Caenorhabditis elegans: one gene and its partners. The protein of the gene in region 1 purifies or fractionates together with the protein of each later gene. This does not show direct contact. Each region holds a gene or a part of one and is shown in the gene's direction. Other genes may lie near its edges. The genes, in order: B0395.3, mcm-3, rps-15 and pole-2.

Region 1 (6,643 bases):
TGTCACCTAAATCCAAGTTTTGCCAAAAAGTCTTGCCCAACTTTTGCCCAAGTTTAGTTTTTTATATAAGTTATAGCCGAATTCCTAAAAAAAACTATTAGAAAAGTGTTTAAAAAAAGAAAAAAAGTTGCAATTGATAGATTTCCAAATTTTCGGGGATCCAAGTTGCTTTCAAAAAGTATTCAATTTAAAAAAAAAATACTCCAAAGACAAAATGTTGCTAAAATTTTTTATTTGGAATAAAAACAATGATGGGGAAACATTCGAATAACATTATATTTCCGCTAATTATGAATTTGAGAAGCAAATTGCAAATATTTATGCTTAGGCGATTTTTTTAAAATTTGTTTCATCAGAAATTGAAAAAAAAAGTTTTAATAATGAAACTCCATTAGTTTTCTGAAATAATATTAAAACGTTTGGTTCAACTTGTAATTTCCATAAGTTGTGTCTTAAAAAATGTCAAACAGAAAAATTAACACTTTCACTACACAATCCAATTACTGGCTGCCATCCAAATCCAATGACCTCTTCTCATTAACTCACACCATTTGGCTACACATCGTTGTTTTCTTCCTCCATTTCTCGGCCTCTTTGTGGATACCACGCGGGGTTTTTGTGTGGTAGGAGAGAACTTAACTTGCCTCCATTTCCTCCCCCCCCCCCCCCCACTCTTTGGACACAACACAACTACTCGGTTTCTTCTGTTTTCGCTGCCTGTGTTTTCTGCGTTCCGCCTGGTCTTTCTGTTTGTGCCCCCTACATCACCACACACACACACACACACACACACTCCTCTCTTCCCATATGACCCCTGCCATTCACCCGCCGTCACTCGTTTTCTAAACACTTTGATCTTACGCCCCAAACATTTGGAACACTTTTACACTCTGAAAATCAACAAATTATTTTTTTTGTTTTGTTACTTTTTAAAAATGTTTTTTAAGTTTTAAATTTTCCAAAGAAAAATAAAGATATAGTATAGATATTTTTGAAAACTACTCACATAGTGCTAAAAATGACCGAATAAAAAAAATAAAACTTTTCAAAAAAAATTTTGAAATTTTTTTATTTACTGTCAAAAAGTGACAATTACTCAGTTTTGCCACTCATAATTTTAAAAGTCGACCAAAAAAAATGTTTTCTTATATTTTTTTTACTTTAATTTTGTTTTAATTGATCGTATTAAAACATTGTAAGGGTTGGAACATATGACATTGCTCATATTTTTTAAAGTTTTGGCAATTTGAAATTATGAAAAATTTTAAATTTTTAAATTTTTTTGAGTGTTCTATTATGATATTCGGTTGTTTTTGACAAGTGTATGTAGATCAAATCCCCACAGGCGCTATTCTTTAACTAAAATTTAGTTCCAAAATATTAAAAAAAAATTATTTAAATTTAAACATGTGAGAAAATGCAAAAAGTTGTTATAAAATTGCCAGATGCCAAAAAAAAAACGAATTTTTTTGTGAGACTTCATTTATTTTTTGAAAATTTTTCAAAACAATTTTCAATTAACATACAACAAATTTTTTTGGTTAACAGATCACTCTTCTATTATTTACGCTAAATTAAAAAAAAATTGCATTGAACCAACATGGTGCATTCCCTTTTACATTCTCTTTCTTTCATACAAGCTTACATTATATTCATCAATTTGAGTAACAAAACCCGTCGAAAAAATGCTGAAATGTCAAACAATGATTCGACCACAGATCTCCGTGAGTTTCTCCCCAAAAATATTAAATGCTGACCAAAATGACCATATAAAATTTGGACTACGGCGTAGTGTAGTCTGAATGATCATTGATAACATTCCCCCACCCGGGTCTTCCCCCACAAAACGTCTTTCACTTATCACTATAGTAACTTTTCGCAGCGTTTTGTGAGGGATTACCTGTTCCCTCAAAATTTTGAGCATTCAAAATTCATTTTGCAGCAACTAATGAAGCACAGTGTCAACGCAATGGCCGGAGGTCACGGTGCAGCCCGTTATAATTCAACAGGTGAGACTAAACCTTTTTTTCGATTGTAAATACATTGATGACGTTTCAGACCTACCAAAACTCCCGGCTCCACAACCAATTAAAACGCTGAAACACTTCCTGGACTTTGCACAAGCGTTGCAGTCAAAAAAGGAATTTCAAGAGACAAAACAGGTAAAAATAAAAAAAAACATTTGGAGCAAAACAAATGTCAATTTCAGATTGTAAATGATTTTGTGGTTAAGGATTTGCCGAAATTGCAAGAACTGCTGCAGAAACGAGCCGACGCACTTCCGAATTGGGTAAGATTTTTAACACTTTTTTCTAAAAAAAATAATTAGAAAAATAAATTCAAAACAACTTCCCCATTTATGATTAGGAGTAGTTAATTTTCAGTTTGGACCAAAAAAATAGAAATGTATCAATTAACTTTATAGGTTTAGCTTTACTGCAAACCAATGACACCTTTAAGTGTACCCTAAACCTAATTTTAAAAAGTTTGATACTAGAAAACTTTACAATATTTTGAAAATATTTAACGGCATAAGTAATACCTATCAGGTATTAGGCATAATGTTGGGCGTTTATATTAAATAATTTTTTCTTTGCAAAACAAACAATTTCTTGGAAATTGGTCCACAAAATAATCCGCCAGCCTATAAATTGAAAACATCAAAATGAAATCAAAATGTTGCTGAAAAAGTGACAGGGCCAGCGCCATAAAAATAGATTTCCAAATTTAACACATGGTTTTATAATATATCTAAAAACTAACTATCTTAAAATTGAGCAAGTTGGCGTTTTTTTACCGATTCAAACAAAAGATTTTCAGCTCACACCATGGTGGCTCAACATCGCCTACCTAGCTGCTCGTACCCCACTTCCAGTCGTCACATCTCCAGGAGTCATGTTCCCTAAATTTGACTATAACACCGAGGAGGGACAACTGGAATATGCAGCAAAAATCAGCCAAGCCGCTGTCCACTTTTACCTTCGAGCAAAAAAGTAGGCTTCTGGTTCAATTCGATGTTTTTTAGTTTTCAAAAAACATTTTTTCAGTAATCAGTTGAAGCCTGATATGGCAGGAAAGTCGCCGCTTGATATGAGCCAGTACCAGTTCTTGTTTGGAACAACTAGGGTACCTAAGGTTGGCGTAGATGAGATTAGATATGGATGTGACTATAAGGAGAAATTGCAACACATTTTAGTGATTAGAAATGGACATGTGAGTTTTTAAAAAATGTTATTTAAAAATTGTATCACTGATTCTTTATAAAGACTAATGAGGTTATTCAATTAATGTTGCAAAATGTATTTAAATACATTTATTACGTCACAACTGTATTAAAATACAAGTTTTCAAAAAATGTATTTTAATATAGTTTGCACCTAATTTTTCTACACTTTTTAATTTTTCGACACTTCTTGAATAACCCCATAAGACTTCAGTTGTTCCATCTAATTGAAGTTGAAAAAAATATTGCAAACAGATTTCAACAAAACCGTTAAAATCTCCCTACATTTTCAGCTCTTCCGCGTCCAAGTCCTAGACTCCAACGAGCAGCCACTCTCAATTTTTGCTATTACTCAGCAACTGGCAAAAGTCGTTTCAGAGAGTCAAACTCCAAACCCACATCCAGTGGGAATTGTCTCCTCCGATAGTCGCGACAAATGGGCAAATGTATACTCATCGCTGAAAAGTGAGCTTTCGAGAAAAAAAGTTTCAAGCCAAATGTAGAAGTTTTGCTTAGCTCCATTGTGAAGATTTTCTTTGAAGCTAGCTATGCTGATAATAATACTATTTTCAGAGGATAACAACAACGCGAAATCCCTGGAAGCCGTCGAAAAATCGTTGTTCGTAGTCTGTCTTGACAAAGCTAGTGAACCACCAGTTGGCTACACGGAGAAAGATGAGCAAAGTAGGCAGGCACTGCATGGTGGCGGCTCCAAAGTGAACTCGAGCAACAGATGGTTTGACAAGACTATTCAGGTGTGTTATTTAGTTTATCCACGGCGTGTCAGGCTGTCCCATTACGGTTTGATCTACAAAAAATGCGGGAATTTTTTGCCCATAAAAATTATACGTCAACACGTTCTTAACCAGACGAAATCAGTTGAGAACTCTGCGTCTCTTCTCCCGCATTTTTTGTAGATCTTTGTAGATCAAGCCGACATGAGACACTCTTACACCACGTGTTTATCGTTCATGCACTCATTTTTTTGCATTTGATCAGTAGAGCACATTTGCATTGCAATAGCAAAAAATATACCTGGAAATTTCAGTTTGTCATCGGAACAAATGGCTACACCGGAATGACGTATGAGCACACTCCAGCCGAAGGACCACCAGTCGGTGCACTCATGGATTTTATTTGTGATCAATTGTGAGTTTTTGAAATTTATAACTGATTACAAAAAAATTTGTTGAAAAACTTGAATTTGAACAGAAATTTAAAATGTTGTCTTTTTCGTTTTATCGTTGGGTCAAAAACCGGAACTGTGGCACTTTAGGTGGAGTAGCGCCAGTGGGGAACTTGTGAAAAACTACTCCTACACATGGTGCCAAAATGACCGAATATCATAATAAATCCTTTCAAAAGTTTTTTAAAATTTTTTTATTTACTGTCAAACAGTGACAGTTACTCAGTTTTTCCACATATAATTTTGGAAGTCGACCAAAAAAAAAATTTTTCCTACATTTTTTTATACTGTAGTTCTGTTTAAATAATTTGTCTTAAAACATTGCATGTGTCGTTTTTCAAAATATTGGCAGTTTGCCAAAACTTCGGCCGGAAATTATGAAAAATCGAAAAATGTTTGGAGTGTTTTATTATGATATTCTGTCGTGTTGGATCATAATAAGTGTATTCAGACCAAATTCCCACTGGCGCTACTCCACCTTTAACCATAGCAATATAAATATTTCTGATCCTACGCTTCATCAAACAAGTTTATTTAAAATGTTGCAAAAAGTATTCTGGTAGCTTGGATATCTTCAGTTAGTAACATTTAAGATAATATATCTATTATATTTCCTTCAATTTTTCAGTGATGCTAACACATTCATTACTGAAGGCACACCTTCCAACTCCCCAGTGCAACGTCTCGATATTTCCACTGACGAGGAAATCAACAAAAGAATCGCCAAGAGCTCCAAGAACATGGACAGCATCGCCGAGGACCTTGATATCGTCGCGTTCACGTTCAAGCCCTACGGAAAGAATTTCCCGAAATCCTCAAAGATCTCGCCCGACTCGTTCATCCAAATGGCTTACCAATTAGCTTTCTACCGGATCCACTCATCGCGTAAGTCAATTATCCCCCATCTTACAATTTGATGACGAATTAAATTTCCAGTTCCACCAACCTACGAGACGGCCACTTTGCGTAAATTCACCGAGGGTCGAACCGAGAACATCCGATCTCCGAATACAGCTGCAGCATCATTTGTCAAGAAGGTGTGTGTTTGTGTGTGACCTAGATCGATCACCCAATTTAACTCACTCAATTTTCAGATGGTATCTAAGCCTCCTACGCCGGTTAGTGAAATCTACGATGCACTTGTTCACGCAACAAATTCGCATAAAAAGTACACCATGGATTGTATGGATGCAGCTGGAATGGACAGACATTTATTGGCATGGAAGTTGATCGCTACTGAAAATAATCTCCCAACCCCAGAAATCTTCGGTTCCAACATCTACCAACAACTCAACCATTTCCAAGTCTCCACAAGTCAAGTTCCCACACGGCATTTCATCCAAATGTGCTTCGGACCATCTGCCCTTGATTGCTATGGAATTTGCTACAACCCACAGGAAACTGAACTTCACTTTATGATCTCAACATTCAAGAGCTACGGCTCGACGAGTTCCAAGAAGTTTGCCAAGGAACTTCAAAAGGCGCTAATTGACATGAAATCGGTTATTAATAAGGCTACAAAAGAAATGTCCAAGTTGTAGGAGATCATATTTTGATACTACTTTTTTTTAAAGAATAACATTTCACACGCCATAACTAGTGCTCCTACGTGTTCAGATCCCAATGTTTTTTTTTCTGCTTTATTGTAATTGATTGAAAATGCTTGTAGATATTTTATGAAAACATTTTATATGAATAAATAATTTGTATAATAAATACGTTTCCGTCAGAGGTGTATCACAAATATCCACGATAAATCTACAAAACATCTAATATTGGGGTGATAGCCAAGAAATAGAGAAAAAATGTGATTGATTTCAGAATTGTTTTGCTAAAATCGATAGTTTAAAATATGCTATTCCTGCCATAAAAATTGTGTGCATTTATCTAGCAGACCGATCAAAAGATTTTTGGTACAAATAAGCATATTTTACAATGAACCAACTTCTATCAAGTAACTAATATTTATTTTTTCTGTAAAAACTAGTGACAAAACTTTTGTACAGTTTAAAAAATAATTCTCAAATAAAATCAACAAAATACAAAAAAAAAAAACGAATACCCCGTGTGACAAATAATTAGAGATTTCATGAAGTTGGTGGGTGACAATTCCAATGTCTCGGGAACAAAAGGTCCACAACGGCATTGGAGTACGGGGCACAGTGTCCACGTCTCGCGTACCATTCTTGGCCGTAGAAAGCAATGAACATTCCGGTTCCTGAAAGATGGTTGTA
Region 2 (5,161 bases), on another chromosome or scaffold:
GAAGCTCGTTGGACTGGAATTACAGTAATCTCCATTGCAAGTGTAGCATTGTCCGGTTCCACCTTGGGCTTGGCATTGCGTCTGGAAATTAATTTTTGCACGAAAAAATATATAAATTTATTTTTACTTACCATAAGCTGAGTACAGGCGACCAGGGCATTTCCAGGATCATTACATCCTTTAGTGGTCTGACGGACTGAAAATTCAGATTTTACAGATAATTTCCAGGCTTAAAACTCACATTTCTTCGGATTGTTCACTTTACAGTCGAACTTCATGCAGGTGTAGATGTTTCCCGGGCAGACTTGAGTGAACGCATTGAGAATACTATTTTGGACGAAGCATGTTGTGGATTCTGAAAAAAAGTCAATGTTCCAAAGCTCCAAGGTCTCGCCACGAAAGAAATATTTGCAAATCGTGAAAGGTACGCGCCTTTAAGCGGTACAGTAACGACTTTTTTTTTCAGATTTTTCGGTTTATTTTCAACTTAGTTTTCAAATAAACATTTTTGAACCCTGGAAAAACTGTACCTCTTAAAGGCGCACACCAAGCCCCTTAGATCAGATCTCGACACTACCCATTATTAAATTTGCAAAAGTGTTTGCGCCTTTGAAGAGTACGGTAGTTTCTAACTTTTCTCAGAACAGTTTTCTCCTGTTTTCTAAAAATTGTTTCATTCTCAAGTAATTTCACTTGTGTAATTATCATTTTTTGATACTTAAAAAACGGAAGAAAAAACTATAGCAACTAAATAAAGAAAACCCGGAAACAATCTGAATACTACAGTACTCCTTAAAGGTGCACACTCGTTTGAAGAATAGTAAGCTAATAGATTTTGTCTTAAAAAAGTCGTTTCGAGACCCGGTACAGTACTCTTGGAGGCAACACGTTCAAAATTTCGCCAGTCCTGTTATAAATCTAGATTCAATTCTCACCTGTCTCTGAAATCCAGAGTACCAGAATCGAGATTGCGAGTAGAAGTTTCATGGTTTCGTATTCGTATCGTATTGCGAATATAAAACGAAAAAGCACAGAAAAAATAGCTTTGTGAATGAATGAATGAGTGAAGGCCCGAGCGGCGGCGGGAGGGTCCGATAGATGTTGTTTCAAACGGTTTCCAATGGTTTCCAGCACGCGGTGCGCTCAAGTTTCTAGGAGACAAAGTCAAAGCACTTAAAGCTTTACGGCATAAATTTTGTGTATATGTGTGCTTTTGTGACCACTTTCTTCCCATTTCTATGTATAAATGTATTACGAAAGGTGCGTCCTGGGGGAGGCAGGGAGAAAATAAGAAAGATGGGATGAATAGAATGGAAAAGCATCTGTGTCTGTGAGTTTGTGAGTACTGAAACAATAGATTCCATTTTTGTGATTTGTTATGAAAAATTGAGGAGATTTTTGGAAGAGATCTTTTGCATAGATCACGGGCACAAATGTTATTGATGTTTTTTGAAACTTGAAATGACAATTTTGAACTGATAATTTCAGACAATTTTCATTTTATTCCAGGCATTTTTATTTAAATAAAATTATTTCGCTATTAATAGCTATTTAAAATAAACATGTTCAAACATCACTTTCAGGTGCATTGAGTGCAGCGTTGCGTCATGGTGTTTACGGAGCGAGCGCGCGAAACCTTGCTGTTTGAATGAGAAATGCGCGAATTTGGGCCGAATTTTTCTATTTTCCCCGCTCTTCTCCGTGCTTTCTAGTTTCTATTCGTTTATTTTTTAATTTTAAGTTTCTTTTGTTAAAAACATCTTATTTTCAGAAAAAATGGACGGACAAGCTGATGGAATGTTCATTGATCGTGCCGAGGATGCTCGAAAACAAGAAATCACGGAGCAGTATCTCAACTTTTTGGACAATCAAGCCGACACTTTTCACTATCGTCAGAAAATTGTGAAAATGATGAATGATGGAGAAAGTCGTTTGGTGATGAATCTCGATGAAATCAGGGAAATTCTACCAGAAAGAGCTGAAGGGTAATTAATAAAAAATAAAGAATTCCCGAGTATTAAAGTTTTCAGGCTATTGACCCAAAGCGTTCTTGAGATGAATTGCTTACAATCTGCACTTCAAATGGCTATTAATCGTAGTGATGTTCAAGCTGTTGTCAAAACGTGAGTAGCTTTTAAAAGCCGTTTTTGTTTTTAAACAATTTGTATTTTCAGTGGATTCCACGTCGGCTTTGAAGGAACTTTCGGAGAGCGCCACGTCAATCCACGTACTCTCAAATCATCATATCTTGGAAACCTTGTCTGCTGTGAGGGAATCGTCACAAAGTGTTCAACTGTTCGTCAAAAACTTCTCACTTCTGTCCACTATTGTCCAGCAACAAATAAAGTGCTCGAGAAGAAATTTGCCGATTTCACTATGCTCGACACTGCAGTCACCAATAACAACTATCCAACAGAAGATGAAAATAAGAATCCTCTTGAAACAGAATTCGGACATTCAGTTTACAAGGATCATCAAACGTTCACAATTCAAGAGCTTCCAGAATCCGCACCAGCCGGTCAACTTCCTCGGGCCGTCGATTGTGTTGCTGATCTTGATTTGGCAGATCGCGTCAAGCCTGGAGATCGTGTCCGCATCATTGGAGTCTTCCGTGTTCTGCCGAATAAGCAGAATGGAGTTTCGTCTGGATCCTTCCGTTCGATCATCATCATTAATCATATTCAAATGCTTTCAAAGGAGGTTATTCCAAACTTTGAGCCACAAGATGTTAAAGATGTTCGTAAAATTTCAAAGTCAAGAAACCCATTTGAGCTGCTCGCTCGGTCACTTGCTCCATCAATTTGCGGCCACGAAGAGACAAAGAAAGCGTTGCTCTGTTTGTTGCTAGGTGGAATGGAAAAGATTCTGAACAATGGTTCTCGTTTGAGGGGAGATATCAATGTTCTTCTCATCGGAGATCCATCTGTTGCCAAGTCTCAACTGCTTCGATATGTTCTTCGTATGGCCCCAAGAGCTATCACCACAACTGGACGTGGATCTTCGGGTGTTGGACTTACTGCTGCTGTTACTACTGATCCTGATTCGGGAGAACGTCGTCTTGAAGCTGGAGCAATGGTTCTCGCCGATCGTGGTGTCGTTTGTATTGATGAATTTGACAAGATGTCTGATATTGATAGAACTGCAATCCACGAAGTTATGGAACAGGGACGTGTCACAATTTCGAAGGCTGGAATCCACGCGAAGCTGAATGCTCGTTGCTCGGTTCTGGCTGCAGCAAATCCGGTGTACGGACGATACAATCCATTCAAATCTCCAATGGAAAACATCGGAATGCAAGATTCACTCCTCTCGCGTTTCGATTTGATCTTTGTACTTCTTGATGAGCATGATGCGGACAAGGACGCTAATGTCGCTGAACATGTGCTCAAGCTTCACACTTACAGAACCCAAGGTGAAGCCGATGGAACTGTTCTTCCGATGGGTGGAGGTGTTGAGACGATCAGTACAATCAATATGGAGACTAAGAAGGCGAGCAGCTCGATCTATGAGGAAAATACCCAATGGGCTGGTATTCAAGAGTGAGTTTCTTTTATAAAAAAACAATATAAATTAATTAATTTCTCTATTTCAGCACGAAAATCCTGACAATGGACTTCATGAGAAAGTACATCCATTTGGCAAGATCAGTTCAACCAAAACTCACCGATGAAGCTACTGAGTACATTTCTGAAGTATATGCCGATATTCGTTCATTTGATATCACCAAAACTGATCAAGAACGAACAATGCCTGTCACCGCTCGTCAACTCGAAACATTGATTCGTTTGTCAACTGCTATCGCGAAGGCAAGATTCTCGAAAAAAGTCGAACGAGAGGATACTGAGAAAGCTTACAATCTGCTCCACTTTGCCTGTTTCAAGGAGAAGCCAAAGGCTCGTCAAGAGTATGAGAAGAAGAAGCGAGCTCCACGAATTGATGGTGACGATGATGAGGATCAGAGCGATAACGAGGACATGGCAACATCGGAAGAGCCTCAATCTAGCTCCGTTCCGACTGCAGCCACCCCGCGTCGTGGAGTCAGAAGGCGTGCTGAAGATGATGATAGCCAGGATTCTATGATGGATACTACCATTGGAGAAAGTCAGCCAACTGCTAAGAAAGCACGTACTGGACCGGCTGCCATCGGAGTTGATCGTTATAAGGAGCTTCGGAAGTACGTCAGAAAGGCGTTCGACGACATTGGAAGCACCGACGATATGGTTGAACTTCAAATTATCACAGACAGTAAGCAAATGTTTCATTAAAAATGTTTATTACAAAAATGTTTTCAGGTGTTCAAACTCAAGCCGGATCACACAAGTTCACTGAGGATGAGCTGAAGGCTGGATACGAACAATTGGAAAACGATAACGCTGCAATGATTGCCGAAGATAAGATCACTCTCATCTAATTTCCTGCTGGAAGCTGGAACATAAGCCCCGTTTTCTTTTCGATCTCTCAATCAAATCATTATTTTATCCTTTTTTTCACCTGATTATCATTCCTATTTCATTTTAACTAGGGTCTCCTAATCCACTCACATTGATTTTACATTGCCTATTGTACTATGTTGTCTCTCTCTTTTCTCTTTATTCCTCCCCCTATTATATCTCTTTATCAATCGCGTAACCGGATAAAAGAAGTACTCTTGGTCATTGATTCTTTGTGGAGACTGTCTGAACGCCGGTCGACATGCGAGCCTTCTTTCCACGTTTCGCTGCCTTCTCCTGTCGATACTGAATTCCGGTACATCCGAGTCGATGGTCACCAACCAACGGAATGGTGTTCGCTTGAACCGCTTTGCAACGATTTGTGTCAGGGAATTCCATTGGCTTCAATTCGATTCTCACATGAATTTCCTGGAAAACAATTATTTGGAAAGGAATGAGAAAGTGGAAACATACCTCATTTTTCTTGAACAAAACTACATTCGTCTCTCGGATATTTCGAGTTTTTATTCCTTTCAGCGCCTCCAAAATTTTTTGCTCAATTGTTGGAATTTCATTCCAATTAACACGAATTTCAATCGATTGTTGAACGGAAGAAGACGTCATTTTTTAGATTCGAAGATATAGGAAATACATTTTTTTGGAACGATTTATTAGCTTTTTTTATTTTGAAATGTTTTTCAGCGTGAACAAAAAAATATAGAAACCCGCTT
Region 3 (2,825 bases), on another chromosome or scaffold:
TCTCCCATTGCAGCAATGATTGTTATATCTTCAGGAGATATGTTTCCAACATTCGTTCCAGTCAAAAGTTCAGTTTTGATACGAGGACAGGAGAATGTCTTTCTGAAAAAAGCTTCATTTTTATCAATATATTAGTAAAAATAAACCTGTCATTGAATGCAGAGTTGATTACACCAGCCACTGGTTGATGTTTTTCAGGTTTGATGGCGGTCAGAGATTTGAGATGTTGATGATCCACACTGTCTCTTTCTCTGAAATAATAATTGTTTTTGTCATTTTTCATAGAGTTCCAGGAAGACCATCACTCGACCTCATTCAAAAAGCGTTTAATTGGAAGAAACTAATATGGAAAAGAAGATTAAAAAATTAAGTAACTCAACAAAAATAAATAGGATAGTTTGAAATTGGGAGAAGCAGACCATGCGGTTTTAGCATTCTAATTTCAAAAATTGAAAACCCTTCTTCATCTTCGTGTGATGACGTAGCAGTGTCGAAAAATTTGTCATAATCGGCTGATTTTCCCCACATTTTTATAAGTCTGAACTGTCCAAATTTTGTAAATCGCAAGAAGCCGGTGAGAAAAAATGATTTTAAATTAAATGGTCACACCTTTCTTCACTTATATCACTTGAATCATCATCTTCTGAAACTTCTGTACTGTCATTTCCACGCCTTTTTTGTTCTTCTGGAGTTATTTTATCGTCATCACTGCTTCTTCGGCTCGCATAATCGGTCAAATTTTGCGAATTATCCTCATAATCCACCATAAACTTTCCCTCGTCATGGAACTCCCCGCGTAGAATTTTCTGGTCTACATTGGGAACCACAGATCCATGTGCAAAATAAAATAGAAGTAGTAGAAGTAGGTTTAATCGCATTCTGAAAAAATTAAAGTGAAGACAAAATAGTGCTTGCGATAAGGCTAAAGAAGAAGATATTTAAAAGGTAGAATCGTCAAAAGGAGAGAATATAGATCTCCAAACTCTATTATGCTTTATTTGCAGTTCGAAATTGAAAACAATGCTTAAAAAACAAAATTAAATCGACAAGAATTTCAAATAACTAATTATTGTCGAATAAATTCTGGTCGAAACTTCATTTTATGAAAATAATTTGTATTCAGCAGTTGAATACATTTTTTATTTTGAGAATAACATTATTTAAATTAAATTACGAAGCTCCAAAACTTTTTTTTTCACCAATTTCCGTTTATCAGGCCCGAAAAATTGATAAAAATATAAGAATTGCAACCGCGCTCCACCGAATTCTGGCGAACAGCCAACCTGCGCTGAGTAGCGACTCAACAATGATGAACGATACGGAGCTTCGGTTGTCAGTAGAATTTTTACAAAATTTTCCGTTTTTCGCGATTTTTTTCACGGTTTTTCTGGTTTTTTGGTGTTAATACCTGTTTTTAATATAGAAATACTAATTTTTCTTTTCCTACTGTAGAGAAATATGTGAAACTAATGGAAAAATTATCGTAAAAATGTATAAAATGGAAGTTGCATTAATTCAGATTTTATTTAATTAAATTTTACGATATGTAAGTCAGTGCTCTTTTTGATAATTCATGACGAGTTTTCTTCACTTCTCTTCCATATGTTTATTTACTTTCTTTTCAATATCCATATATTGCAACAAAAAAAGTAATCGATTTTTCAGGGTTAAACATGGCTACTCAAGATGATGCCCATCTCGCTGAGCTGAAGAAGAAGAGAACTTTCCGCAAGTTCATGTACAGAGGAGTTGACTTGGACCAACTTTTGGACATGTCCCGGTAATTTTTTAAAACAATATTTTGCCGGCAATGTCTGGTTTTTGGTCATCTCCAAGAACAATTATTTATTTCCAGTGAACAATTCACCAAGCTTCTCCCCTGCCGCATGCGCAGACGTCTCGATCGCGGACTCAAGAGAAAGCACTTGGCTCTCATCGCTAAGGTCCAAAAGGCCAAGAAGGCTGCTGGTGTTCTCGAGAAGCCAGCCACCGTTAAGACCCATCTCCGAGACATGATCATCCTTCCAGAGCTCGTTGGTGGAGTCATCGGAATCTACAACGGAAAGGTTTTCAACCAGGTGAGTCGATTACAATAAATGCGAAAACATTATGATTATTATTATTTTGTTACAGACCGAAATCAAGCCAGAGATGATCGGATTCTATCTCGGAGAGTTCGCTATCTCCTACAAGCCTGTCAAGCACGGAAGACCAGGTATTGGAGCTACCCACTCTTCCCGATTCATCCCACTCAAGTAAAGTTATTTGTTGAACAATAAACTTGTTTCTAAAGTTGATCAAATTATGTTGCTGTCTTTTATACACGGTTGAATAACATCAATTCGAAGAAACGTGATGATTTTATATTAGAATGTGTCGAAATGTCCGCGCGAGTTGAAAGGGTCAGTTGAATATTGGATGCGAATGCCTTTACGGAAGCCCGCACTATCACAAAAATAACCACCCAAATTTTTTGAATTTCTTTTGTATTCCTAATAAAAGTAAACGAATATCGAGAACTTGCTGGCCCTGGATGTCATCGACCAATCTGAATACCGTGATTACCATTCTTCTACACAGCAATACGCTGCTTTTAATGAACAGAATAGTCCGAACACAGAATTGCAATAAAAGGCCATAATTTTAGAAAACGGCTTCTCATTTTTTCTCATCAACATTAAGTGAAAAAATGGATAGATTTTGTTCTTATTTCTCCGAAAGGTATCAAAAATGTTCGACTTGGTGGCAATAAGTTTCCTCGTCACATACTTCGCTGTCTCCCACTTGATTTCGTGTTTGTTATAATTGGTCCATTTTCTGGATCC
Region 4 (6,768 bases), on another chromosome or scaffold:
AGAATTCGTGCATAATTTACACTACTTTTTCTTGTACTTTGCCATAACTGCTTGCTCATTTTTGTAACAAATGCCTGTACCTATTGATCTTTCGCTTGTTTATTTTTTAATACGGGTTTAAATTTTTTAAACAAAAATTGAAATTTTTCCCGTGGAAAAATCTATAAATATACAATGTAAAATCAGTTATCTTCTTCTCAATGTTTTGTGCATATTTACGACTATCTCACGATGCCCAAAATCAATCGATACCAATTGACAGAGTCGATATTCAACATTAAATGCGTCCAAACAGCACTGGGCGCGTCTGAATAACGACAACACCTTATATCTATTTTAACCGAGCATTCAGCATCCAAAATATAATTCATTTCCTTCTTTGAAAAACTATTTCATGATGATCTTGAATTCGTTTTTATTTTCGTAGAAAATTTTCGTTAAAAACCAAATTTGAACACCCACGTGAATAAATTACTGACGCTTTTCTCGATATGTTTGCGTATTTCTCGTGCCCTGTTGACACACTTTCGGAGCAAGAATTTTTTGAAACCGATTTTCGAATACTCTCAGTTTTTCGTGGTTTATATTTTTCATTATGCTTTCTTTTCTTGGTAACAATAGTTCAAAATGACAAAATCTTAATTTTCAGCATGCCAAAGTACTATTGTGATTACTGCGACACATTTTTGACACATGACTCGCCATCAGTGAGAAAAACGCACAATGGAGGAAGAAAACACAAGGATAACGTCAGAATGTTTTATCAGGTAAGTTCCTAACACGCTATTTTTCAAATAAAGTGAGCTAGTGTTTGATATTATCGATTTTCTTCTAAGAAGTTTCTGTTTTGTAAATAATGCAATTTTTATTTAATTGGACATGAACTATAAAATCATTTTATTTCAGAAATGGATGGAAGACCAAGCACAGAAGCTTGTTGATCAAACTGCACGGGCATTTGCCACAAATAGAGTAAGTTGTTTTAAAATACAGCTTTTACAACAACAAATATATAATCCAGTTGTAATTTAAAAATCAGCGTCCTTTTTGTTTGAAAACAAGTATAAACCAAAGTCAATTTTCAGATGCAAGGAGCCGTACCACGTACAACAATGGGAATGGCCCCTGTACCACCAGTGGGTCATCATCCGATGATGGGAGGTCCCCCAGGAATGCCAATGATGGCTCCTCGACCGTTCCCTGGACCAGGAGTCGGATTTCCAGGAGCACCAGGGGTCAGTCTTTTTAAAAGATTACACTGAAATGCAGCTGAAATCTAAATTAAAATTGTGTCAATGCAGATTTGACTGACATTTTAGAGTTTAAAGAGGACTATGTATTTTTTTTCTTGAAATATTAAAAAGTCTCGCCAACAACTGAATATTTCAGATGCCACCATTCCCAGGAGGGCCTATGGGTATGGCTGGACCACCAGGAATGCCACCAATGATGCCACGTCCACCACAACAATTCCGTCCGATGTAAAATGAATTCGATGTTTCCTATGGAAATTATTCAGAATGCTTAAATTGTTATTGTTTTGGGTTTCTGCCAAGTGTGCACAAAAAATTTCATTTTTCTTTTTCAAATTATCAACTGTTTCCAAGAAAAATCGTTCTGAAGTTTCCTAATTCGTGAACATTATATAATAATAATTTATTTCTGTTCCTGGTCTCAATTTTTGTAATGAATATTTTTATTTTGAAATCTAATCTGTTAATACTATTTCTGTTTATCGTTTTGTGATGTGTTGACTTTGCATGGTGTGATTATCTGAATATTTTGAATTAATTTTAATAGTTAATCCCTCTTTTCTTAACAGAAAAGCAAATTAAAAATACAATTTTAGATGGACACAACTGCCGAGGAGAATGCGCTGCGCCGAGAAATTGTCAAAACCTTTCAGATACACGCATTTGAGCTCAAAAAGTAGTTTTCTTGAAAATTAATTATTTCAATTTGCAATTATTTTATAGAGAAGCGGTCAAATTATGTGTGAAGCTATTCCTAGACCATGACAAAGAAACTCGAAAGAAATGGACGAATAAAATGATTGAATTACTCAAAAAGCAGACACGTAAGCATATACCAGTTATTAAACTATTTTCAAATAGTTTTTTCCTTTAGTGCAATCATCCCTAATCAGTGAAGAACTCATCAGAGATACATTCCGTCAATGTAAATCAAAAGGAACCCAAGATGCGTGAGTTCTGGTTTTGACCTCTAAAAATTAATTTTTTCAAAAAAAAAACTTCTATTGTTATCTTTATTAGAGCATCATAACCCTTTCATTTTTGCGAATTGACGTCACATTTCTGGATAAGGTAATTTTATACTCGTGTTTTCAGAGGAAAACTGCTCAATGTATTCGACGCATTCTCCCTCCAGCCGTATGATTTTGATGCGGATCTTCGGAAAATGGTTCTAAGAAAAGAAAAAACTAGTCTGGCTGCTGATTCGTCGTCATTCTCACATGCTGCACGACAACGATTTTTTATTGTTAAGCAGGTGAACATTTTTTCTTTTTTGTTTAAATTTGCAAAAAAAATATGCAAAATGTATATTTCACTAATATGTGTTTGCATAAAAAGGTCAACATATAAATATATACTGAAATCTTTAATAAAAAGTTTAATCAATTAACGATTTACAGCGTGCAATGCGATGTGCTTCACTGAAAAACTTCAAATTCACCACATGCGAAATTTTGGGAAGTTCCACAAAACATCTTCAATCAGTTGTAGTTCTCGGTATGCTTACTCAGCAAAAGGTATTCTTTGAAATAGTGAAATTTGATAAAATCTAATATTAATAATTTTCAGGCCGACTGCTATCATATCGAAGATCTAAGCGGTTCAGTTGAAGTAGAATTTAAAGAAGACACGAAATTTCATCATGCGTTATTCCATGAGCATTCAATTGCAATTTTTGAAGGAACTTTTGAGAATAGTGTTTTAACAGTGAATGAAGTTGCAATGGTACCTGTAGAATCAGCAGAAGTTACGAGAAAAGAGTTGAGTTCGAATGAGAATTGGTTTGGAGGAGATGATAAGGTATGGAAATAATTTAAAGTATACTTCTTTTTGAAAAAAAACTGATTTCAGATCGCATTCCGGTGCAGTGATCGCCTACGATCAGCTCTGGCTAAGCAGGAAGATACTTCCCTTGTCTTCCTTTCCGATGTTTTTTTGGATGATAAAAAGGTAATCCGAAAACTTTTTTTTTTGAAAACGAATAACGAAAAAAACTAATAAACAAAAAACAATTTTTTTAAAAGTTTGAATCACTATTTTTAAAAAACCTAAATATTTTGAATTAACTGAACTCTATTTATAATTTCGATAGTCTATTCTTAGAAACTCTGAAGAAAATTCTCAGTTTAGGTTTTTTCCGAAAAAAATATTTTTCCCCAATAAACTAGAAAAGAATAATTTTCAGTTCAAAAACCAGTCTAATTTATATGTTTTCCAGGTTATGAAAGCAGTATTCAAATTGCTACAAGGATACAAAGATCAACCTCCAGTTGCAATTGTTTTTTGTGGAAATTTTTGCTCAAGACCCAGACAAACTGATACAATTGATTTACTGGATCGTGGATTCAGGTGGTTGGCTAATCAATTGACACCACTCAGAAAGGATTATGAAAAAACACAGTTTATCTTTGTACCAGGACCTGATGATCCATTTGTTGACACGGTAAAATATATTCAAAAATGTTCTTTTCCAAAAATTTCAAAAAAAAAAACACAATTTTGCCAAAATCGGAAATTTCGCCGACTTTTCGTTGTCACAGCAGCCGGAATATAGTTTTTATCAAACTACTATCATACTATCATTTGCGTTTCTATTTTTTGGAATTTTCAGGTACTTCCTCGTCCACATCTTCCATCTCTTCTCTTCAAGCATATTTCCCCAATTATCTCGTGTACATTTGCTTCGAATCCGTGTCGAATTCAATTCGCAAGCCAGGAGATTGTTGTCTTCCGAAGTGATTTGATCAAAAAAACGTGCAGGTGAATTTAAGCTTTTCAGTCTGGAAATCTCATCATCAATACGCTATTTTGTCTGTTGAAATTAGTACGGCAGTACAAAAAATGACAGCTGAGATGATAATTGGAGCAATGAACTGATTATTATTTATTGAGCTAGACACTAATGAACTAGACAAAATACAGATGTGATGACGTTGGAATCTAAAGAGATCGGTTAAAAAATATGAGAAACAACAACAGAATATCTGAATTTTTATTTATTTCATAATAATAAAAAATGAGAATAAACAAACATAGAAGTTATAATTTCCTAAAAATGAGAATTTTCCGAGAAGAAATTTTGGCATAATCCTTAAAACTAAATAATTTTGAAATTACTTAATTTCAGACATTCAATCAATAGTATCACTGTCGAATCCATCCCATCGAGATATGCAAGAAGTGTGTTGAGCCAGGTTGGTAAAATGAATTTGATGAAAATTTGTGTAATTAAAAAAAACTACTAAATTCTGTAGATTTTGATTTTTCATTCTGGATTTTTTTTCAACTCGGCAACCCCTGATACAGAAACGTAGAAATTTTGAAGTTTCATGATTTGAAGCATTGAACTTTCTCGTATTTCCAATAAGTTCAGTCAACGTTTTGAATAACTAAACGAAATTCACCTGATCTTACTACGAAATATATCTTCTCCTAAATACTATATTTGTTTTTCTGTCCATGCTGGAAAAAAATCACGTAGCAGTTTTAGTGGGAACTGGAACCGGCTCAAAAACACCTGAAAATAAGCGATAAACTTCTTCTAATGAGCTGAAAATAGATTTTTTTTTGCATCTGAAATTATAAAATTTATATATTTTATTTTGAACCTGCCAATCTGGATCTATGAAATGTAAAAATAAAAACTAAGATCAATTCGAACAAAAATTGCAAATTTTCGAAAACCCCGCTTTTCAGTATGTTAAAAAAATTCAGAAAATGTAATTGAATTGGGCTGAAAAGTTAAATAATTAAGTTAAATTGAAATTAAAATTTTTCAATAAAAAACTTTAAAAAAAGAAGGTATTTTTGGTTTTTAGTGAGCACTTTAAAAACTTCAAATTATTCAAAGCGAAAACCACAGAATAAAATTATCGCTCTTTTTTTTTAAAGAAAAAATAATAAATTTCCAACAGGCTTCAGACTTCAGCGTTATAATTGAAAGTTTGTCTGATTTTGTGTTTTGAATTGTAGACAAGAAATCACACGAGTTTTTTATTTCAATTTTAGTTTTTGATTTGACGATGTTTGAGACTCTGATGCAAATTCCACATGTCCTTGTACCCATTGTTTTCATAATTTTTGATCACGTGGGCTCTATGGAAGTATTTTTGATTTTTCCTTTTATGGAGAGCCAATTAAATCCTCAGAAAATACGAAAGAACATTTAATTTCTTAAAATACATGTTCTTCTGCTACAGTTCTAGATTTTCACGGTTAAATTTAGACCTTCATATCCTATAGGAAAAGAATAACCAATCGAATCCATGAACCAAAGATTAATTTAAATTTGAAGTTACAAATTCGGGGTCTTCGGAAACTGGACACTCAAAATATGAAAAATCTGAAAACTGTTAATTATAGTTTTATTTTCAGGCGCATTTGTGTCCACTTCCTCAACATATTACACCAGTTTTACCGGATTTCTCTCATTCCTTGTCACTTCATCCACTTCCCGATCTTCTGATCACTGCTGATCGTTTCGAGACTTTCACCGAAAAAGTCGTTGGAGCTGACACAATTGTCTCAAATCCTGGTTCATTCTCTCGAAGCAACTACACTTTCCACGTCTATTATCCCTGTCAGAATCGCGTGGAAGCTTCACAAATCCCAGTTTCCGAACTTGATGATCAGTAGAATATGATGATTAAGAATTCATACCCAATTATATTTCCAGCTCTAACATCAAAAATGTAATCATATTCTTCTTCCTTTTCTGACATGCTTCACAAATCAAGCTTACCTATTTTAATTATCAAATCTCCAATTCCATTCCCGTTTTTCTTTGATCTGCAAACCATCTCAATCTCACAATTTTCCATTCGATTTTCATCTAATTTTTTAATCATTTTTTCTTCAGTTTTTTATTTGAATCTCACAGTTTATCACTATTTTCATCTCAAGTACATCATGTGATTTCTGAATAATTTTTGAGGTCTACGTGTCAAATAAAACAAGTATTTTGCAAAATCAATTCTGGAGTTGTAGAAATCCGAAATTAATTAATTTCAAAATTCCATTTCAATTTCCGAAATGACGAATCTCAGTTTTTTCAGATCACTTCACTTCTCAGGTGACGTGACCCTAACTGAGCCACCTCGTCGTATTCTGATATCACTTAGATTTTGCATTAACCGGGGGCCCCGCATACAGAAGACAGGTGCAATATTTCAGATGATAAAAGGGCGGAGCCTAATTAGTTGGATTTATATAAAGTTGGTGGAAATATTGGGAATTTCAGTATTTTTTGGTAGATTTTTCTGTCTGAAGTCTAATTTCGGAGAATAATAATATTTGAATTTAAATTTGCTGACAATTTTCAATTGTTTCTACTTCTGAGTTTTCCGAGTTTTCTCAGTTTTATCCTTGCCAGTTAAACACGATTTCTCATGATTTATTTTCAAACTCTTGTCACGAACGGACAAGTTCCAAACGAAGACTGCTCAAAACGGTGTGCACATTTAACAACTACAGTATCACCTCTTTCGTTCATCTAGTCTTTGAAGTTTTTCCATTC

The links.
Region 2: the proteins of B0395.3 (region 1) and mcm-3 fractionate together in Caenorhabditis elegans (co-fractionation; one large-scale study listed by BioGRID). This does not show direct contact.
Region 3: the proteins of B0395.3 (region 1) and rps-15 fractionate together in Caenorhabditis elegans (co-fractionation; one large-scale study listed by BioGRID). This does not show direct contact.
Region 4: the proteins of B0395.3 (region 1) and pole-2 fractionate together in Caenorhabditis elegans (co-fractionation; one large-scale study listed by BioGRID). This does not show direct contact.

What each region holds. Positions count from the first base shown.
Region 1 is NC_003284.9:16,034,531-16,041,173, reverse strand, and holds B0395.3 (Choline/carnitine acyltransferase domain-containing protein), read left to right. Parts: upstream 1-1,942; 5' UTR 1,943-1,948; coding exon 1,949-2,009; intron 2,010-2,058; coding exon 2,059-2,162; intron 2,163-2,209; coding exon 2,210-2,290; intron 2,291-2,820; coding exon 2,821-2,993; intron 2,994-3,047; coding exon 3,048-3,213; intron 3,214-3,516; coding exon 3,517-3,688; intron 3,689-3,796; coding exon 3,797-3,978; intron 3,979-4,271; coding exon 4,272-4,372; intron 4,373-5,037; coding exon 5,038-5,294; intron 5,295-5,345; coding exon 5,346-5,446; intron 5,447-5,503; coding exon 5,504-5,950; 3' UTR 5,951-6,138; downstream 6,139-6,643. Other genes in the region: mboa-1 (O-acyltransferase), read right to left, coding at 6,497-6,627.
Region 2 is NC_003283.11:15,056,210-15,061,370, reverse strand, and holds mcm-3 (DNA replication licensing factor MCM3), read left to right. Parts: upstream 1-1,771; 5' UTR 1,772-1,776; coding exon 1,777-1,985; intron 1,986-2,030; coding exon 2,031-2,123; intron 2,124-2,174; coding exon 2,175-3,539; intron 3,540-3,592; coding exon 3,593-4,245; intron 4,246-4,292; coding exon 4,293-4,411; 3' UTR 4,412-4,652; downstream 4,653-5,161. Other genes in the region: nssp-71 (neuronal small secreted protein), read right to left, coding at 1-81, 132-196, 242-355, 936-987; C25D7.16 (40S ribosomal protein S20), read right to left, coding at 4,653-4,859, 4,905-5,054.
Region 3 is NC_003279.8:8,815,034-8,817,858, reverse strand, and holds rps-15 (Small ribosomal subunit protein uS19), read left to right. Parts: upstream 1-1,665; 5' UTR 1,666-1,673; coding exon 1,674-1,780; intron 1,781-1,855; coding exon 1,856-2,078; intron 2,079-2,133; coding exon 2,134-2,259; 3' UTR 2,260-2,287; downstream 2,288-2,825. Other genes in the region: F36A2.9 (Lipase_GDSL domain-containing protein), read right to left, coding at 1-102, 147-251, 610-878. UniProt on the Caenorhabditis elegans protein: Negatively regulates lifespan.
Region 4 is NC_003282.8:8,681,692-8,688,459, reverse strand, and holds pole-2 (putative DNA polymerase epsilon subunit 2), read left to right. Parts: upstream 1-1,849; coding exon 1,850-1,929; intron 1,930-1,976; coding exon 1,977-2,077; intron 2,078-2,127; coding exon 2,128-2,203; intron 2,204-2,348; coding exon 2,349-2,508; intron 2,509-2,653; coding exon 2,654-2,770; intron 2,771-2,822; coding exon 2,823-3,053; intron 3,054-3,104; coding exon 3,105-3,203; intron 3,204-3,471; coding exon 3,472-3,696; intron 3,697-3,864; coding exon 3,865-4,013; intron 4,014-4,380; coding exon 4,381-4,447; intron 4,448-5,627; coding exon 5,628-5,888; 3' UTR 5,889-6,220; downstream 6,221-6,768. Other genes in the region: hst-1 (Heparan sulfate N-sulfotransferase 1), read left to right, coding at 1-15; snrp-3 (U1 small nuclear ribonucleoprotein C), read left to right, coding at 651-767, 907-972, 1,086-1,235, 1,390-1,485. UniProt on the Caenorhabditis elegans protein: Accessory component of the DNA polymerase epsilon complex. Participates in DNA repair and in chromosomal DNA replication.